4 linked regions of the Nothobranchius furzeri genome follow. The protein of the gene in region 3 interacts with the protein of the main gene of each other region in a pairwise test. Links are inferred from orthologs where the notes say so. Each region holds a gene or a part of one and is shown on either strand. Other genes may lie near its edges.

Region 1 (4,011 bases), on a different chromosome or scaffold from region 3:
TCTGAACAATTTTTGTTTGTTGATTATATTTCATTTTTAATTTATTATTATTTTGCATCATGATTTATTTTATGGTGTAGTGTCATGTGGTAATTGTTGCAAATTCTAAATGTAATTTTTATTTTCCTCAACTGAGGTCATTTTTATTTGCTTTATTCTTCAGTACGTTGAATGTAGGTTACATTGTAAACTGAATGTATGTGAAAACGAAGATTGAAATAGTTTTAAAAAAGTTTAAAATGTACTGCAATAACCATTTTAAGCCGGCAGATGGCGGTATCTGCCCCGATTGCAATGACAATATTGAGAAAACTAACAGTTTATCTCTTTTTATTCCACAATCCACATTGGTAGCAGTTGTCATAAATTATTTCAGAAATTGAGAACTGCTCTGGCGCTCTCCATCTAGCTCTGGTGCTCCCCTGCTTTTCCTGACTCTGTACCGGAGGCCGGTGACCCACCGCCGGTCTTCCACCCGGAAGTGTCTGTGGATCTTCCACTAGATCTGTCACGGATTCGTCTGGGGGAGCAACAAAAATGATGGAAAAAATAAATGCATTAACGCTTCTGATTGCATTACACTGTATATGCATGAAGTGACTGGGAAACGCATTTGTAAACCGCTTGAAATATTTCAAATATTTTCGGTGACAGCCTTGTTTGTTTTGATTTTGTTAATAAAGTAAAAAATAAAAACGTTGGCATGATGAGGCCGATGATGCAATAAGTGCTGCAATTACTGAGGTCACTACTACAGCCGCAGGTACCGTGGCAGCAGTGGTAGGAGGCGTGGCTAGTGCCACTAAAAGTCGTGGTAGGGGGCGTGGCTAGTGCCACTAAAAGTCGGAAGTGTAATGGCAGCAGTGGTAGGGGGCGTGGCTAGTGCCACTAAAAGTCAAGAGCAGCAGTGGTAGGGGGTCGTGGCTAGTGCCACTAAAAGTCAATAATCCAATAATACCTAGCTGCGGACATTGCCCAGGAAAAACGTTTTTCCTGGGCAATGTCCGCAGCTAGACCTTACTCCTAAAAGTCGTGGCACCACCCGGAAGTGTAATGGCAGCAGTGGTAGGGGGCGTGGCTAGTGCAAAGTCGTGGCACCACCCGGAAGTGTAATGGCAGCAGTGGTAGGGGGCGTGGCTAGTGCCACTAAAAGCCGCGGGTGCCACTAAAAGCCGTGGCACCACCCGGAAGTATCAGAACTGCCACTGCAAGTGCCACAAGCGCTGCCGCTGCCACAAATTGCGCTCGGTCCTGCTGTAAAATAGACACTAGGGTAAGTAAACAGCCTGTAGTGTGACATCTACTATCTTTAAAAAACAAACTCATGGTGGGTCTGTGTTTGTGTTTCCACTAATCTGCCACATAGGTCAAGTTTTAATCAAACAATGAGAGAAATACGCTGCTGCCACGTCAACTTGAAGAATTCTGATTCGTTTTTTCAACCTGTGTGAAGAAGAAATCACAGAAAGGATTGACTAAAATGTCACAAGATTTTGCAGTACGGAAATAAAGATGATAAAGAAGTTAAAACAAGTGAAAGGTAAAATCCGATCAGATTAGCTGTGGTTTCATTATTTTTTGACTTAATAAATTTAAAAAAGAATTAAATTACACGCTGTGCGAAAGACTCCCAAACTGATGAATTGAGTTATTTTCTTGAATGCTGATAAATAACATACGAGTAGAAATGTCGACTCCATGAGAAAGTGTAAACCATAATTTCAAAGCTAAAGCTAATTCCCATTACAAAGTATCACTAGTGAGGAAGGGTTAGCTAGGCTGCTAGCTCGTTGTCAATTATGGCTAGTTTCGGTGTAGATTTGTCTGATTGATGGGGGAAAACCTACCGTATAATTTTATTTAGCCTCCTCGGATCTGTCGTGCTATTGGAAGACATTTTTGCCCCCAAATCTCCTTTGTTAAAAAGCAAATAAAATAAATTTAAAGTGACCGACGGACAGCTGATCGGCCTCGCGGTGAGTGACGAAACGAGATCAGAAAATTATTTCCGCTAAATTTCAAAACAAGAGTTCAAGATGTTTTTTTGCATTGACTAACATGGAGGTAAAATATTTAATATTTTATTTTGAAAAGAACAAAATAACCCAGTATAAATGGGGCATACGGGTTTAAACAGTACACTCTTTATGATAGGAAAACATAATACAGGAATGTGTGGCTGTGGAAAGGATAGAGAAACGGTAGAAAATGTACTGTGTAAATGTGACAAATATATAAAGAATAGGAAAATATTATCTAGACAATTAAAGATGAAAGATAATGAAAAGTTGAATTTGAGGAATATATTAATTGGAGGATTAGATGTGTATAAATTACTAATTGAATTTTTAAAGACTGGTAATTTAATATATAGAATTTAATTAGAACAGTTTCTCCGTTTCTCCCTAATGCGACTCATACTCCCACACAGAAGGTGGCGGAAATGCACCTAGAAGTTGGTTGCCAGCATCGACCGCCACCCGCCAATGAACAAGAAGAAGAAGACGTTGTAACTTAGCAAACATGTATCGTTGGTGGTTTAAAATATTCTAGTATTAAACTTCTAGCTTCGCTTTGAATATATTAACATGACTAACAGATAGCGTAGGTACGTTTTTTCATGTTGATTATTAAAACGCTTTTTATTACCGGAAACTAGCTCGTGCACAGCATAATGACACAGTTTGAGGATATTGTGGGTGACCGATGATTGTTTCTCCTCACAGGTAATGATGGCGTTCCCTCAGCCCAAACCTCAGGCTCCTCAGCTTCCTCAGCATCTTCTCCGGACCATTGACTGCCAGCAAGGAGCTGTCAGGGCTGTTCGCTTTAACGGTAAACTTTAAAACCCCTCTTGAAGCCTGATATTTACTATTTATGCCAAAATACAAACAAACTTCCAAAGAACCAAACCTGTCTTTTTTTGTTAATCATTTAGTAATGTTTAAATCTGTGTTTACAATTTCTGTGATCTTGCAAATGGTTTTTACTTTTATTGTTATTGAATGGCTTTTCCTCCATACATCTTTGTACCTGATTCTTCATTAAAATCTACTAGTAGCAGCACTGCAATAAACACAAAATATAGTTAGTGTTTAATGTTGAGAATATTAAAATAATTTGATGAATCCATTATCCATCTGGCTAATGCCTAATCATAAACCATTAGTCCCTTGCATTCACACACACACACACACACACACACACACACACACACACACACACACACACACACACATACACATATATGTATGTATGTATAAAGTCTTATATTTTAAGCCTTTTGCCCCAAATGAATGACTTATGTAAGAAAAGATGTCAAGTTGTTGTTGTTGTTGTTGTTAGCCTCAAGGGCAACATGCCGATTATCACTTGTAAGTCGCTTTGCACAAAAGCGTCTGCTAAATACATAAACATAAAACATTGTTTTTATTGGTGTAAAATGTTCCTTTTTGCTTAGCTGTTGGTCGTGTACTGACAACACTTAATACACCTTTACTTAGGGCTTTTATTTTGTTGATGTTACAGTAGGAAGTGGCTTAAAATGAAAAGCACTCTTATGAAATTGGTCGCATGCAAAGATTTGACTGAAATCAACAATAATAATAAACATGATTGTTTTCCTCCTTATTTTTAACCAGCTGACGGAAACTATGTACTGTCGTGCGGCAGCGACAAGTCGCTGAAGTTATGGAGTGTGAGTCAGGGGACCTTCCTGAAGACGTACAGCGGTCATGGATACGAGGTTCTGGATGCAGATGGGTGAGACGTTTGCTCTCATTTTCTTCCTCAGTATTTCAGGAATAATAAAATGTTGTTTTCAGGTGATTTTTTTTCCGATCCATGATGGAAAGAACACAAACACTTCAGTCATCTATTTACTAAACTCCTTTTGAGCCTTGATGGACCTTTTTTTCCCTCTTTGACTGCTTCCACAGGTCATACGACAACAGCCAGATTTGCTCCTGCAGCTCCGACAAGAGCGTGATCCTGTGGGACGTAGCAACAGGC
Region 2 (4,038 bases), on a different chromosome or scaffold from region 3:
CGGCAGACCCTGCATTACACTGAGTGTGCAGAACTATTTGAGTCTTAGTGATGAGGTAAATTTATGACATTGTGAATTTTTATATTCTTTTATTTAGTTAGTTGCCATTGGTCTATGTGTGCTATTAGATAATTGAAATACCCTAAATTGTACATTGTTCACCTGTTTTGTAACTTTATATGTATAACCCAGAAATCCTGTTTAGCTTTGTTCACATTTTACATTAGGGTACTTATTTTTGGTCACACAGGCTAATTGTAATTAGAGGCTGACCGATATATCGGACCGATATATTAAATTTTTTCTACATCTGTCATCGGCCGAAGTTATTTTTAAAAGATGATTAAAAACATAATAAAATCAGGCACCTGTGTGGTAGTGATGGGAATTCCGGCTCTTTTTAGAGAGCCGGCTCTTTCGGCTCCCAAGTGGCTTCTCAGATTTTCTGTTGCGTAGAGTATATTTATCACCAAAAATAATGCAAAACTATACGTAAAATTATTTTATAATGTAAAAAAAGCAATATACCAAATAATTATCATTTATACGGATTTATTAACTAAACACCAAGAAATCTCAACTTTCCGACTGCTGTCGCTCATTTTCTCACCGTCTTCGTCGCACTTTCCTCTCTCTCGCTCGCCTTTTTCCTCCTCCTCATTCCCTCTCATCTCCCTCCGCCCGCATGTGCTCTGCTGTGTGTCTAAAGCCTGGTTTATGCTTCTCCGTCAGCTCCGCAAGGGACAGACACGCATGGATTGACGGAAGCGTTTTGCTTTCATACTTCTCCGTCTCCTGGAGAGTGTTGCAAAGCAATTGCCCGGCAGGACAACAGAGGGCGTAGCGCTGTTCTGTGGTATCCTGTCATGTATCGGTCCAAGATCGTGTGTTTATATTGTGTTTTTGTGTATATAAGAGACTTTTAACACGGACATATTTGTCTCTCATTCTCCCACCTCTTCATGCGCTCCCCACCTCTAAACCCACGTTTCCTGTCATTTCCGTCCACAAATAAAATGCTTGCTGCGCATCTTTTCACTCCTCCAGTCACGGGAGAATTAAACGTTCATATTTTTAGAGTTTTTTCGCGAGGTATTCTTCAAGCTTCTCCGTGTCTGCCGCTAGTTATCCTCGGCTCTCTTTGCAATGGCGGCGCTGTAAACAACAGCTGCGTCCTGACCAATCACAAGCTTGCGTAATCCGTCTCGTTCGACGGATGTTTAAAAAAGTAGGCTCGACTCCGTACGTACTTGCGTGCCCTACGCAAGGACGGATAATGGCGTTGCGTGTCTCCGCACTGACGCAGACGGAGAAGCATAAATCAGGCTTGAGTCTGATCCTCCCTCTTCCCCGCCCCTACTGCTCTGTAGCACACAAGGGGGTGTGTGTGACAGCTCCCAATGACGAGCCGGCTCCCGTCATTCACTTGATAGAGCCGGCTCTTAGAGCCAGTTCGTTAGCAACCGACACATCACTACTGTGTGGCCAACTTCCGCCACTACTAGACTGAAGAAAGGCCCCAAAGGACCCCAACCAGGGCTGGACTGGCCTATCTGGCATTCTGACACTGTCCCAGCGGGCCGCTTAGCCAAGTGGGCTGCTTGTGATCTGCAGAACATTAGCTACATGCATGGACGTAATTTTCACTTTAGAAGTGGGGGGGACACGGGGGTGGGGGTATCTTTACTGTATGTTCTAATGGGAAACAGGCTTAAACACAAACGGTTGTTTTCTGCTTGGTCCTAGAGCTCAACCAGTGTCAATTTAATATAAAGTAATATTGTTTTTGGATGGTAAAAAAAGCAGGGGTCAAAACTTCACTTTGGAAAAAGTGGGGGGGACATGTCCCCCCTGTCCCCCCCCAAAATTACGTCCATGGCTACATGGTAACCCGAAGCTAACAGTTTTTCCTGGCGTTTTTAGCAAGAAAAGCACGGTAGAGCGATGACGTAGGAGTTGTTTTACCACGTTAGCGTGTAGCTAATGTCCAGCTGATCTCCGCCCATGGCGAGCGAGCTGATCTGGAAGGCCAGGTCTCCCGGCCGCAGCGGTCTGGCCCTGCTTGTAATTTAACAGTCCCAGTCCATATTAGATCTCACATTCCGCCTAGAGACGAGTCCGCGGGGGCAACACCCCCCACCCCCACCGCTCTCCCAATTCGGAGGGCCGACGATTCGTAAAAATGCCAGGGCCGAATTTTGGTCCCAGTCCACCCCTGGCCCCAACACGCAGTTTTTTTAATGTTTTGAGTTTGTTTAATATTTGAAGTTTAATATTTTTAGATGTCGGCCATCAACAACAAAATTCTTTAAAAATCAGTATTGGCATCAGTCTAAAAAAAAAAAGAAATATCGGTCGGCCTCTAATTGGATTGTTAAGTGTCATTGTTGCATGTAGAGCGGCCACTGCAAAAATATAACTCAATTGATATCACGTAATAATGTGATAATTCATTCATTTATCAAGCACCTTCCTGCCACCAATCAAGACAGCCTGAAGTGCTGAACATGCTAAAATACATTTAAAAACAATTTAAAAAGACGTAAGAAGAGTAATGGAACCTAATTATAAAAGTGCAATACATGAGCAACCACAAAATAAGGCAGTAAGATGTTATGATCATTAAGCTCTGATACAGATAAAACCTAAAACTAATAAAATGAGAAACAATAAAACTGTAGAAATTTTACAATATAGGGCAAGTTAAAGCATCGACCAGATAAGAACAATAGTAAGGCCTATATGATGCTATGAATCTGTAGTGCAGTTTCAGGTTTGTCTAGCAGAAGGCTTAGTTTTTTTACAGTGTTTGGGGCTAACAACATAATTTTCATGTTCTTACAATATAATATCAAGTTTTTGCAATATACATGTTTATCACACGTGCACATTATAATGATATGAAGTGCAATATGCTTATATGAAACAAATATACATTATCACATTTCTGGGTTAGGTTACAACATATTATTTTCCAAATGTGAAGACTGTAATGTTAAATTAATGATAACATCGTTCAAATTTTATTTTGCGTGGGTGGTAGTTCTACTTTACTTTACATTAATAAGGAAAATGTTTTCTAGTGCAGAGATTTGGGACTGTAATCAGCCAATCACATTACAGGAATGATAACATGTGATTTGCTGCCAAGCCGCGCGCGAGAGAAGTACAACTGGTAAATTGTCTAAATAAATTATTTTTAATGCCAAAGTAATGACTGTAACTAAAATATACTTTTATATATACCATGTTCAACCGAATAAACATGATATTTAAACAAAACTAGTTTAGCTCCAGTTAGTGCTGAAGAGTCTGGCTAAATGCTGTTAGCTCACATGCTAATGTTAGCATCTTTTAGCTGGGTTTTAGTTAGCGTGACTAAATAAATATCTTATGTTTTATTTTTAAAAAGCTAACATAAAAAACACCAAAAATTTGTGTGTTTTTACTTTTTATTTTGTTTACAAATGTATTCATCATGAGCAGTTTAGTATTTTAACTGAAAATGTGTCCGGTAACAGAAGTTATCATTCGCAGCTAAAGCCGATGGAAAACAAATACTTAAAATAGAGGATAAAACCGAAAGAACATTACATTGTTTTATATGTGAAATTCAAGTAATTGTATTTAAATCATATTATTACTAAATGTAACTTTTCCACAAAGGACAATAATTTTATAATACAAATTGAAATATTGAGTCAGTTTGGGTCAAATATTGTAGTCACAGACCTCTGATAAGCACATTATTGCAGTTGTGTCTAAACCTGGTCCTCTAGGGTCCCTATCCAGTGTGTTTTAGTTGTTTACAGGTTGCATCACCTGTTCAGCAAGCTTTTTAATTACCCACTGATTAAAATCAGGTGTGTTAAGGCCGAAAACCCCTCTAAAACATGCTGATAGGACCCTCAAGGGGAAGAACTGGAGTTTAATTCATTGTAATTTACCTAAATAATTTAATCTTAAATTAAAACAGTAAAATTTAAATATTTTGTTATGAATCCTTCAAATTAAACAAGTTCAAGCACCAATGTGTGT
Region 3 (3,512 bases):
TGAACAAAAGCTCAGGAACGTACAATAGTTACAGAATTTAATCAACTTTTTTTATTTACTCTAAAAGATTTGCTCTGGGCTAAACACCTGGTGTGTGTGTGTGTGCGCGTGTGTGTTATGTGATTCCTTTTTACTAAGAAATCTTGGCTGAAGGTAGTAACTGTTTCTAACTCTGACTTCAGTCAGAGATGTCAAACGTTAACCCGACAAACTACGGTTCCTGTGAAAGAGGAACAACCCCCTCGAGTCTGAGTCGTCACCGAAGCCAAACATGTGACCCGTCGCAGCGGAACTGAATGGTTAAACTGATCAGAGGAATCCGTGCTGTACAGTTAAAGACTCGTTCATTCAGGCTTATGATGGCTTCTTCCTCCAACTGTAAAGAGAAACCCTCTAACAGTTCCTGCTTGGCTGAGAATAAAAAGGGGAAACGGTTAAAAATACCTTCTAGACACTGTGTGTGGATCTGACCACTTGTTTATATTGTTTATATTTATACTGCCGTTAGACTTGTGAACAGCTTATAAACACACAACCATGCTCGTCTTCGGTACTTGACATAACATCACGTTATCGGCCATATTACCTTTACCTGCCATTTTTTATAGCAAAGTTTTATGCTAGTTTATTATATTTTATTCTACTTTATTCTATTTTTTAATTATATTATTCATGTTATATGTAGCACGTTAGTACCGAAGCAAGTTCCTAGTTTTTGAATTGTTTGTTCACTGACAATGGCAATAAACCTTTTCTGATCTGATATAAAGGTGAGAAATGTGGCCAAATTAATTTTATGGACGTGTCTTTTAAAATGAGTTTCAACTTCATACGTCGTAACAAACAGCAGGGTAGAAGGTGAGTGAATGATGGTATGGAAGTGCCTGTACTATTTAAAGTTTGACAGAAGTTTGCTTATTACAAGCTGTCAGAAATCTTAAAACAACATCAGCATCCTTTTTACTGAAGTAGAAGCTAACGCTAAATCATAAACCTCCTTGTGTTCCTGATCCCGTTTCCCAGATGATCAGAACGATCCTTGTGTTGGTTGTCACAGGTACGATCCAGAGAGGGACCAGTGGCAGCTGGTTGCCCCCATGTTGACGCGCCGTATCGGTGTGGGCGTCGCCGTGATCAACAGGCTGCTTTACGCCGTCGGGGGGTTTGATGGAGCCAACCGGCTCAACTCCTGTGAGTGCTACAACCCTGAGCGGGACGAGTGGAGGACCATGGCCCCTATGAACACCGTCCGGTCTGGAGCTGGTAAGGAGGAAACGGGAAAACTGCTGAGTAATGATGAACTCAACAAACTGCCATGTTGGAAATTTACAGAACTGGTTTTGCAGGTTAATCCATGAGTCGTCCGTTCTTTCCATCTTCGATCAACATTCAAAAATCAACAGAATGGGGAAAATGGCAGATAATGTTTTGATACCAAAACACAAAAAATGCCAAATTTTATTTTGTAATCAATCGACCGATGATAGTCAGTTCTCACACAGTTCAGTTTTGGCTTTCAAAGTAAAAGCAGATGACCAGAAACCAGAAGAGGATAAAAATACGACCGTAGATTATGACCCGAGGGTTTGAGCTCCATCCGTTTTCACTCAGACTCTGTCCACCTAAACTCGTCTTCGGGAACCAAACAGTGCTTTTAATGAGGTTTACAGTCTATCATGGGATACTTTTATTTTGAAATATATTTTTCAGATCCAACTAAAATCATTGTCTCTCATTTGGCTTTAATACAAGAAGATATTAAATAGTAAAACATTAATCATTAAATACCAAGTCAGACTCTGCAGAAACTTTGTGTAGTTGGTGAACTTTCATTGTGAAATTATCAATCAATCAATCAATCAAAGCTTTATTTATAAAGCACCTTCCGCAACCCTGTCAGGAAGCCCAAAGCGCTGAACATGGTTCAGTTGAAGGTAAATATATTATGATGTTTCGGTCGGCACATTTTCTGTAAATAATGGTGATCAGAAAATAAAGTTTTTGATGGAGCTTTAATTTAGAGATTCTGAATGCTGTCTGGAACATTTATAAGTGGTCAAATCTTAAGTCATCTGAAACTAAAGTTAGTCTCACACGTGACTTGATGCAATTTGCTGGGTTCCTTATATAGGAAACATTATTTCTGATTGGCTTAATGAACTGACCTGAATTGGAATGTTTATTATGTGAAGTGCCTTGAGACGACTCTTGTCGTGATTTGGCGCTTCATAAATAAACTTGAATTGAATTGAATTGAATTGGGCTTTTGTTCTGAAAGTCAACAAAGCAGTAATCCCACATGAATCATTTCAGGATCAGGTTTGATTCTCTAGCCATAATCTACTCTGGTTTAACACCAACAAATGACTCAAAACTTCATGCAGCAGTTAAAAATGACCAAAACAACTTCAGCTCAGCAAGTAAACTGATGAATTTAGGGTTCCTTTTCAGTCGATTCACTCGGTACAACGAAGGTACTATGGGACATCACGCCCTCGTGTGGCCTGGCTGAAGACACATTTAATCACGCCTGTAAGGCAAATGAAAGTGACGCGGCGTGGAGGTCCCGCCCTCCACTTATAAGCGGCCACTGTCATTCCTCAGGTCTTACGCTCTTCACCTCGCTGACTACACATCTGACAACTAGCTGCGCTGTTAAAAGATGGCTTAACCGCTCGCTGACTGGACTACTGCCTTCTGGCTAGCATTCCTGCCCACCGAGCGCTATCTTTTTTGGCTCTTCAGCTTCTCTGCTTCGCTCCGCTGGGTGTCTTGCAATGAGCACTGTGTTGGACGTTGCTTCAAGGAAAGCCGCTTCGCGCCCCTGTCCTCAGGGCTGTGGATTCTTCTTCACGGGAAGGACCTACAAGAAGCATGCCCGGTTTGTCTGGGAATTCTCCACGCCAGGAGAGAGCTTGTGGAGCCAGAGGCATGCGAGTTCTGTCGCCAACTCCGTCGTCCCACGCTCGAACGGCGCGTGAAGCTTCTACAACGTCTCCTGGGAGACGCTGCAGTTTCGTAGCAGGACCCCGTACTTTCCCGTTCGGTCCCGGCTTCGCCTAGCCCTGACGTGGACAGCCTAGTGATCAATGTCCCCGCTACTAGCTGGGCAGATCAGATGGAGATGGCGGACAATTTAACCGGACCAGACCTAAAGGCTTCTCAGTTTCCTCCTCTGGCAGAGGATGAAGGAGACACTTTGGACATTTGCCCCGACGGTCAGGACTTACTCGAGGACGAGGAGGTCCTCTCGGCGGTGGAGTGTTCTGCTCCGGTCGCTACTTCAGCCTGCGAGCTGCGAGAGGACACTTCTTTTCTCCCGCTCTGCCGGCGTGAAGCGGGGAGGCTAGAAATGGACTGGCCCGCTCCTCCACCTGCACAAAAGAGGTCCCGCTTTTCTGGATTTTACCTCCCCTCGGAACCAGCTGAGGTAAAGAACTTTCTGCCACTTTACCCGGATTTTGTGGCTGAGCTCACGGCATCCTGGGTCAAGCCGCTATCCACCCGCACCA
Region 4 (4,253 bases), on a different chromosome or scaffold from region 3:
ATGTGCAGCGAAGGCCCGTTGAGAGCTGATGTTGGATTACAGTAGTGATGCTGTAACAGTTCACACTGATTTAAATGTGCTGTTGGAAACTCACTTTTCATCACGATAGACGGATCTTTTGGATTTTTGCATATTTCACATGAGATTTTACTGTGGTTTCACAGTTTTCTGACCTTTTTATCATCTCTGTGGAGCCGTCAACATGACAACAGTGTTGTTCCAGATCTGCTGCTAAGCAGATGAGTTTCCATTGATCATAGTTTAATTTTTCCTAGTAACTGTATATGAAGAACACTTCCTGTAGATTGGAATAGATTATTATTTACCAGTTATCCCTGTTTTATACTGTAGTCTTGTCGATATTTGAATGAGTTTTGTGCTCTCTTTATGATCCTAAGAAGAGTACAGCCTTATATGAATTGTTGGGTTTCAGGTTTTAAACACATTTTAACACTTCACAAGACCATTAAAGAGTCTGAAAGCCAAGTTGGCTCATTCATTTTTAAGTTTATCTTTCATTTATGCCTTTGAGGCTGTAGTCTGAGAACTCGTAGTGGTCTTTTTTTTTTTCTTCATTAAAAGTTGCAGCCTTACAAAGACCGGACAGGCTGGATTATTGTTCTATGTGGGCCTCATGTTCTTTCTGTAGTGAAGACTGAGTGCTTTGCAGATCTAGATGATTGATAGATAAACAGAAGCTGGTGATGCTGTGTCTTGTGCCTTACAGTTCAAACTTCCTCATTTATTTTCCTTGACTCAAGGTGCTCTTATTAAAGTTTTTTTTTCTTCTATTGACTTGACACCAATAGTGCAGGTGTTGTGCACCTGAACACTGATATTCCCTTGTGGGTCAAAGGTAATTCAGAAATCTTGCTGTAAACTGTTTTGTAAATAAATAAGTGACTCATGTTGGAAAGTGTCTGATTTTACTTGATTATTTATATTTCAATATTTACATAGAGTATTTTTTCTTGTTAATAACTGAACAAATAACATTAAGCTTTGGACAGTTAGAAGTGAGATGCAGTTTTTAATTAAAAATTAAAGCAATTCAGATTATTACAGAAGATGATTAGGGCCACTGAAAAGAAAAGAAAGAATTCAGATTTTTCCAAGAATTCTGAATTTTTCTCAGAATTCGGACTTTAATCTCAGAATTCTAACTTTAATCTCATAATTCTGATATTTCTGAACCTCAGGATTCTGACTTTAATAATCCGGGGGGGGGGGGGGGCAGAATTCTGAAACAAAAGTCAGATTTCTGAGATTGAAGTCATAATTCTGAGATTAAAGTCGAAATTCTGAGAAAAATACCAGAATCCTGAGATTAGTCAGAATTCTCCCCCCCCCCCCCCCCCTTTTTCAGTGACCCTAATCATCTTTCTTATTACGATAATGTAAAAAAAAATAAAATCTGCGAAATGTGTTGTGTGGTGCGGCAACACTATGGTTATTACGGTAACCTTCCATTCACTCAGCGGAAGAAGACGTGTTAGGGCTTCCGGCTTCGTGAGGTCGGACTCGAGTCGGACAGCCGTAAAAGCGACTCAGTCAATGGAACATGGAGTGTGTAAGTAAAATGCTCGCTACTACACGTTTTTACTTTTAACAAAGCCTCTAAATAACAAAGCTAACTTTTTCTGTTTTGGATGCTAATATTAGCAGCTAGTTAGCACGCTATCTGTCTGCTGGTTTGTTAAGAAAGCACATTATTACTTGAGCAACTGTAATAAAAAAAAAATATATATATACATATATTGAACGCGTTACATAAAGTTTTGCCAAGCTTACTAATATATATAAAACGCCCGAGTAGAAAGAAAGTCTCACCTGAGCTGGCTTTTTGATCGATTGTGTCGCTGGCTAACACGCTAACGTTAGTGATGTAGTTTTTATATATATAGTAATTAATGTAAGAAGTTTGATTGGTGTCGACATAATATAGTACAGTTAGCTGCATCAGAGACTCTTTATGAGTGTCTGATGCAGACCTTTTTCTGTTTATCAGAAAAAACAGGTCGTCTTTTTGTCTCAAATGTGACTTCAAGTTCAGCAAACAACTTGATATACTAACTCGAACGTGCCACGAAGTGTATGATTAATCGAGACATTTTAGTTTGTCTAGTTAACCTTTAGTCTGTCCACCACCGTGGATTCACTAGGCTAAGGCTTTTCTATCGGTTGTCCCTTTTTTTTTCATTCAACAGCTATACACGTTACAAATTATTTCTGCAACTTGAACGTACCAATTATCTGGAATGCTCTAAAATGCAGAAGTAGTAATGTGGCTTATTACACGTAGAATGCTTTGAGCCAAACCGCGTCGTTTCTCTTTTAATTTCCAGTGCACACTTCATTTTGCATATCTAATATTTGATGTCAATCAAATATAATTTACTTTTCAAGAAGAACGCTAGGAAAACTGCACGTGCATAAATAACAATATATTTTGCAATTTCAAGCCAAGGCTAAGTTGTGCAGGTTTGATTTTCTTTACATTTTGCGTGAATCAGAATAAAGTCCCATTAGTTGTCACACACACTGATGTGTGTGCCACATTTGTTCTCCGCATTTGATCCATCCCCTGGGGGAGCGGTGAGCTGCAGACACGGCAGCGCTCGGGAACCAATTGGTGGTTTAACCCCCTAATCCAACCCCTTAATGCTGATTGTCAAGCAGGGAGGCATTGGGTCCCATTTTTTTCCAAAGTCTTTGGTATGACCCGACCAGGAATCAAACCCTGATCTCCCAGTCTTAGGGCAGACACTCTGCCACTAGGCCAGCCCACTGAGATGGCCTAGTGGTAGAGTGTTATTGTCAGTGCTCCAGCATCCAGAAGCACAGAAATGTGTCTCCGCAGTACAGCCTGACCAAGGTTACACACACAAAACATATAGAACAAAACCGATACAGGCAGCCACGAGAGCTGCCATTCAAGGCAAATAAATGGAATAATCATCTGTAATTAATGGTAAAAGTCTCAAAAGTGCAATTTGGACTTTTCTCCCTGTATGGACCAGTCCTCCTTACACCGGCTTCAGCTGGTCCAAAATGCAGTGGCCCGACTTGCTGACTGGCACCAGCAAGCGGGATCACATAACCCCGGTTCTGGCCTCTCTCCATTGGCTTCCTGTCTCTTACAGGATCCATTTCGAAATTTTACTTTTTGTTTTTAAATCCCTTCATGACCTGGCCCCATTTTACATCTCTGAGCTGCTGTCCGCTTACGTCCCTGCCAGAACCATGAGGTCCAGCTCTCAAGCTCTTTTAACAGTTCCAAAAATCCGCCATAAGACTCGCGACAACAGAGCTTTCTCTGTGGTTGGTCCCAAACTGTGGAACAAGCTACCTTGTAGCTCAGGTGGTAGAGCAGGTTGCCTCATGATCGGAGGGTTGTGGGTTCGATTCCAGCTCCCGCCAGGGGTATCCTGCTGTTGTGTCCTTGGGCAAGACACTTCACCCAACTTGCCTGTGTTAGTGGTGGTCAGAGGGGCCGACGGCGCCAAATGGCAGCCTCGCCTCTGTCAGACCTCCCCAGGGCGGCTGTGGCTACAAGTAGCTTACCATCACTAGCAGTGTGTGAATGTGAGAGTGTGTGGAAGCGTCTTTGGGTGTCTTGAAAAGCGCTACATAAGTTCAATGCATTATTATTATTACCTCTCAACATCAGGACCACACAGAATCTAGAGCATTTTAAATCCCTTCTTAAGATGCACTTTTTTTATCTGGCTTTTAATGCAGGTTGACTTGAGCATCTTAATAGTTTTTAACAGTTTTAATTATAAATTGTGACTGTTGTGTGCTCATCTTATTTTAGGTTTTTATTGTTGATTTGTTTTACCTTGTACAGCCCTTTGGGTGTAGCTTTGCTGCTGTAAATGCGCTCTATAAATAAAATTGACCTTGACCTTTTCTACAGGAGAATGCTTTAAAAGGAATGCAATTTTAAAACTTAATTAACTTTTAATAATGTATTTTTACAGATTCCAGTAACTATTGATGACATCGAGAGCAAAAAGGATCCATTCATTGGTGGTAAAGACATTTTTTTTTTTTGTTTTGTTTCTAAAACACTGGCAAGCGAGTGTTTTCATTAGAGGCTTTCTCATTTCTTTAGACCGAGACCGTAATGTATACACCAGGTTTATGAAGTCCCATCGTTGTTATGATCTTGTACCCACAAGCTCCAAATTAGTTGTGTTTGATACTTCACTCCAGGTACAGCAAATGAACATGGTTGTAAATGTTAGTGG

The links.
Region 1: the proteins of keap1b (region 3) and wdr83 interact in binary tests that used the Homo sapiens proteins (3 or more experiments, as listed by UniProt). The two-hybrid records come from large-scale screens. The link is inferred for Nothobranchius furzeri from reciprocal best matches to the Homo sapiens genes KEAP1 and WDR83.
Region 2: the proteins of keap1b (region 3) and E3 ubiquitin-protein ligase CCNB1IP1 interact in binary tests that used the Homo sapiens proteins (3 or more experiments, as listed by UniProt). The two-hybrid records come from large-scale screens. The link is inferred for Nothobranchius furzeri from reciprocal best matches to the Homo sapiens genes KEAP1 and CCNB1IP1.
Region 4: the proteins of keap1b (region 3) and 5'-AMP-activated protein kinase subunit gamma-1 interact in binary tests that used the Homo sapiens proteins (3 or more experiments, as listed by UniProt). The two-hybrid records come from large-scale screens. The link is inferred for Nothobranchius furzeri from reciprocal best matches to the Homo sapiens genes KEAP1 and PRKAG1.

What each region holds. Positions count from the first base shown.
Region 1 is NC_091744.1:1,725,325-1,729,335, forward strand, and holds the start of wdr83 (WD repeat domain-containing protein 83), read left to right. Parts: upstream 1-1,203; 5' UTR 1,204-1,273; intron 1,274-1,412; exon of another isoform or gene 1,413-1,540; intron 1,541-1,847; coding exon of another isoform or gene 1,848-1,897; exon of another isoform or gene 1,898-2,000; intron 2,001-2,473; exon of another isoform or gene 2,474-2,608; intron 2,609-2,726; 5' UTR 2,727-2,729; coding exon 2,730-2,835; intron 2,836-3,641; coding exon 3,642-3,762; intron 3,763-3,938; coding exon 3,939-4,011. Other genes in the region: wdr83os (PAT complex subunit Asterix), read right to left, coding at 1,848-1,897. UniProt on the Homo sapiens protein: Molecular scaffold protein for various multimeric protein complexes. Acts as a module in the assembly of a multicomponent scaffold for the ERK pathway, linking ERK responses to specific agonists.
Region 2 is NC_091742.1:58,868,531-58,872,568, reverse strand, and holds the start of E3 ubiquitin-protein ligase CCNB1IP1, read left to right. Parts: upstream 1-1,230; 5' UTR 1,231-3,175; intron 3,176-3,205; exon of another isoform or gene 3,206-4,038. UniProt on the Homo sapiens protein: Ubiquitin E3 ligase that acts as a limiting factor for crossing-over during meiosis: required during zygonema to limit the colocalization of RNF212 with MutS-gamma-associated recombination sites and thereby establish early differentiation of crossover and non-crossover sites.
Region 3 is NC_091747.1:74,212,969-74,216,480, forward strand, and holds part of keap1b (kelch-like ECH-associated protein 1B), read left to right. Parts: intron 1-1,057; coding exon 1,058-1,263; intron 1,264-3,512. UniProt on the Homo sapiens protein: Substrate-specific adapter of a BCR (BTB-CUL3-RBX1) E3 ubiquitin ligase complex that regulates the response to oxidative stress by targeting NFE2L2/NRF2 for ubiquitination.
Region 4 is NC_091743.1:48,654,637-48,658,889, forward strand, and holds the start of 5'-AMP-activated protein kinase subunit gamma-1, read left to right. Parts: upstream 1-1,445; 5' UTR 1,446-1,561; coding exon 1,562-1,570; intron 1,571-3,983; coding exon 3,984-4,035; intron 4,036-4,117; coding exon 4,118-4,218; intron 4,219-4,253. UniProt on the Homo sapiens protein: AMP/ATP-binding subunit of AMP-activated protein kinase (AMPK), an energy sensor protein kinase that plays a key role in regulating cellular energy metabolism.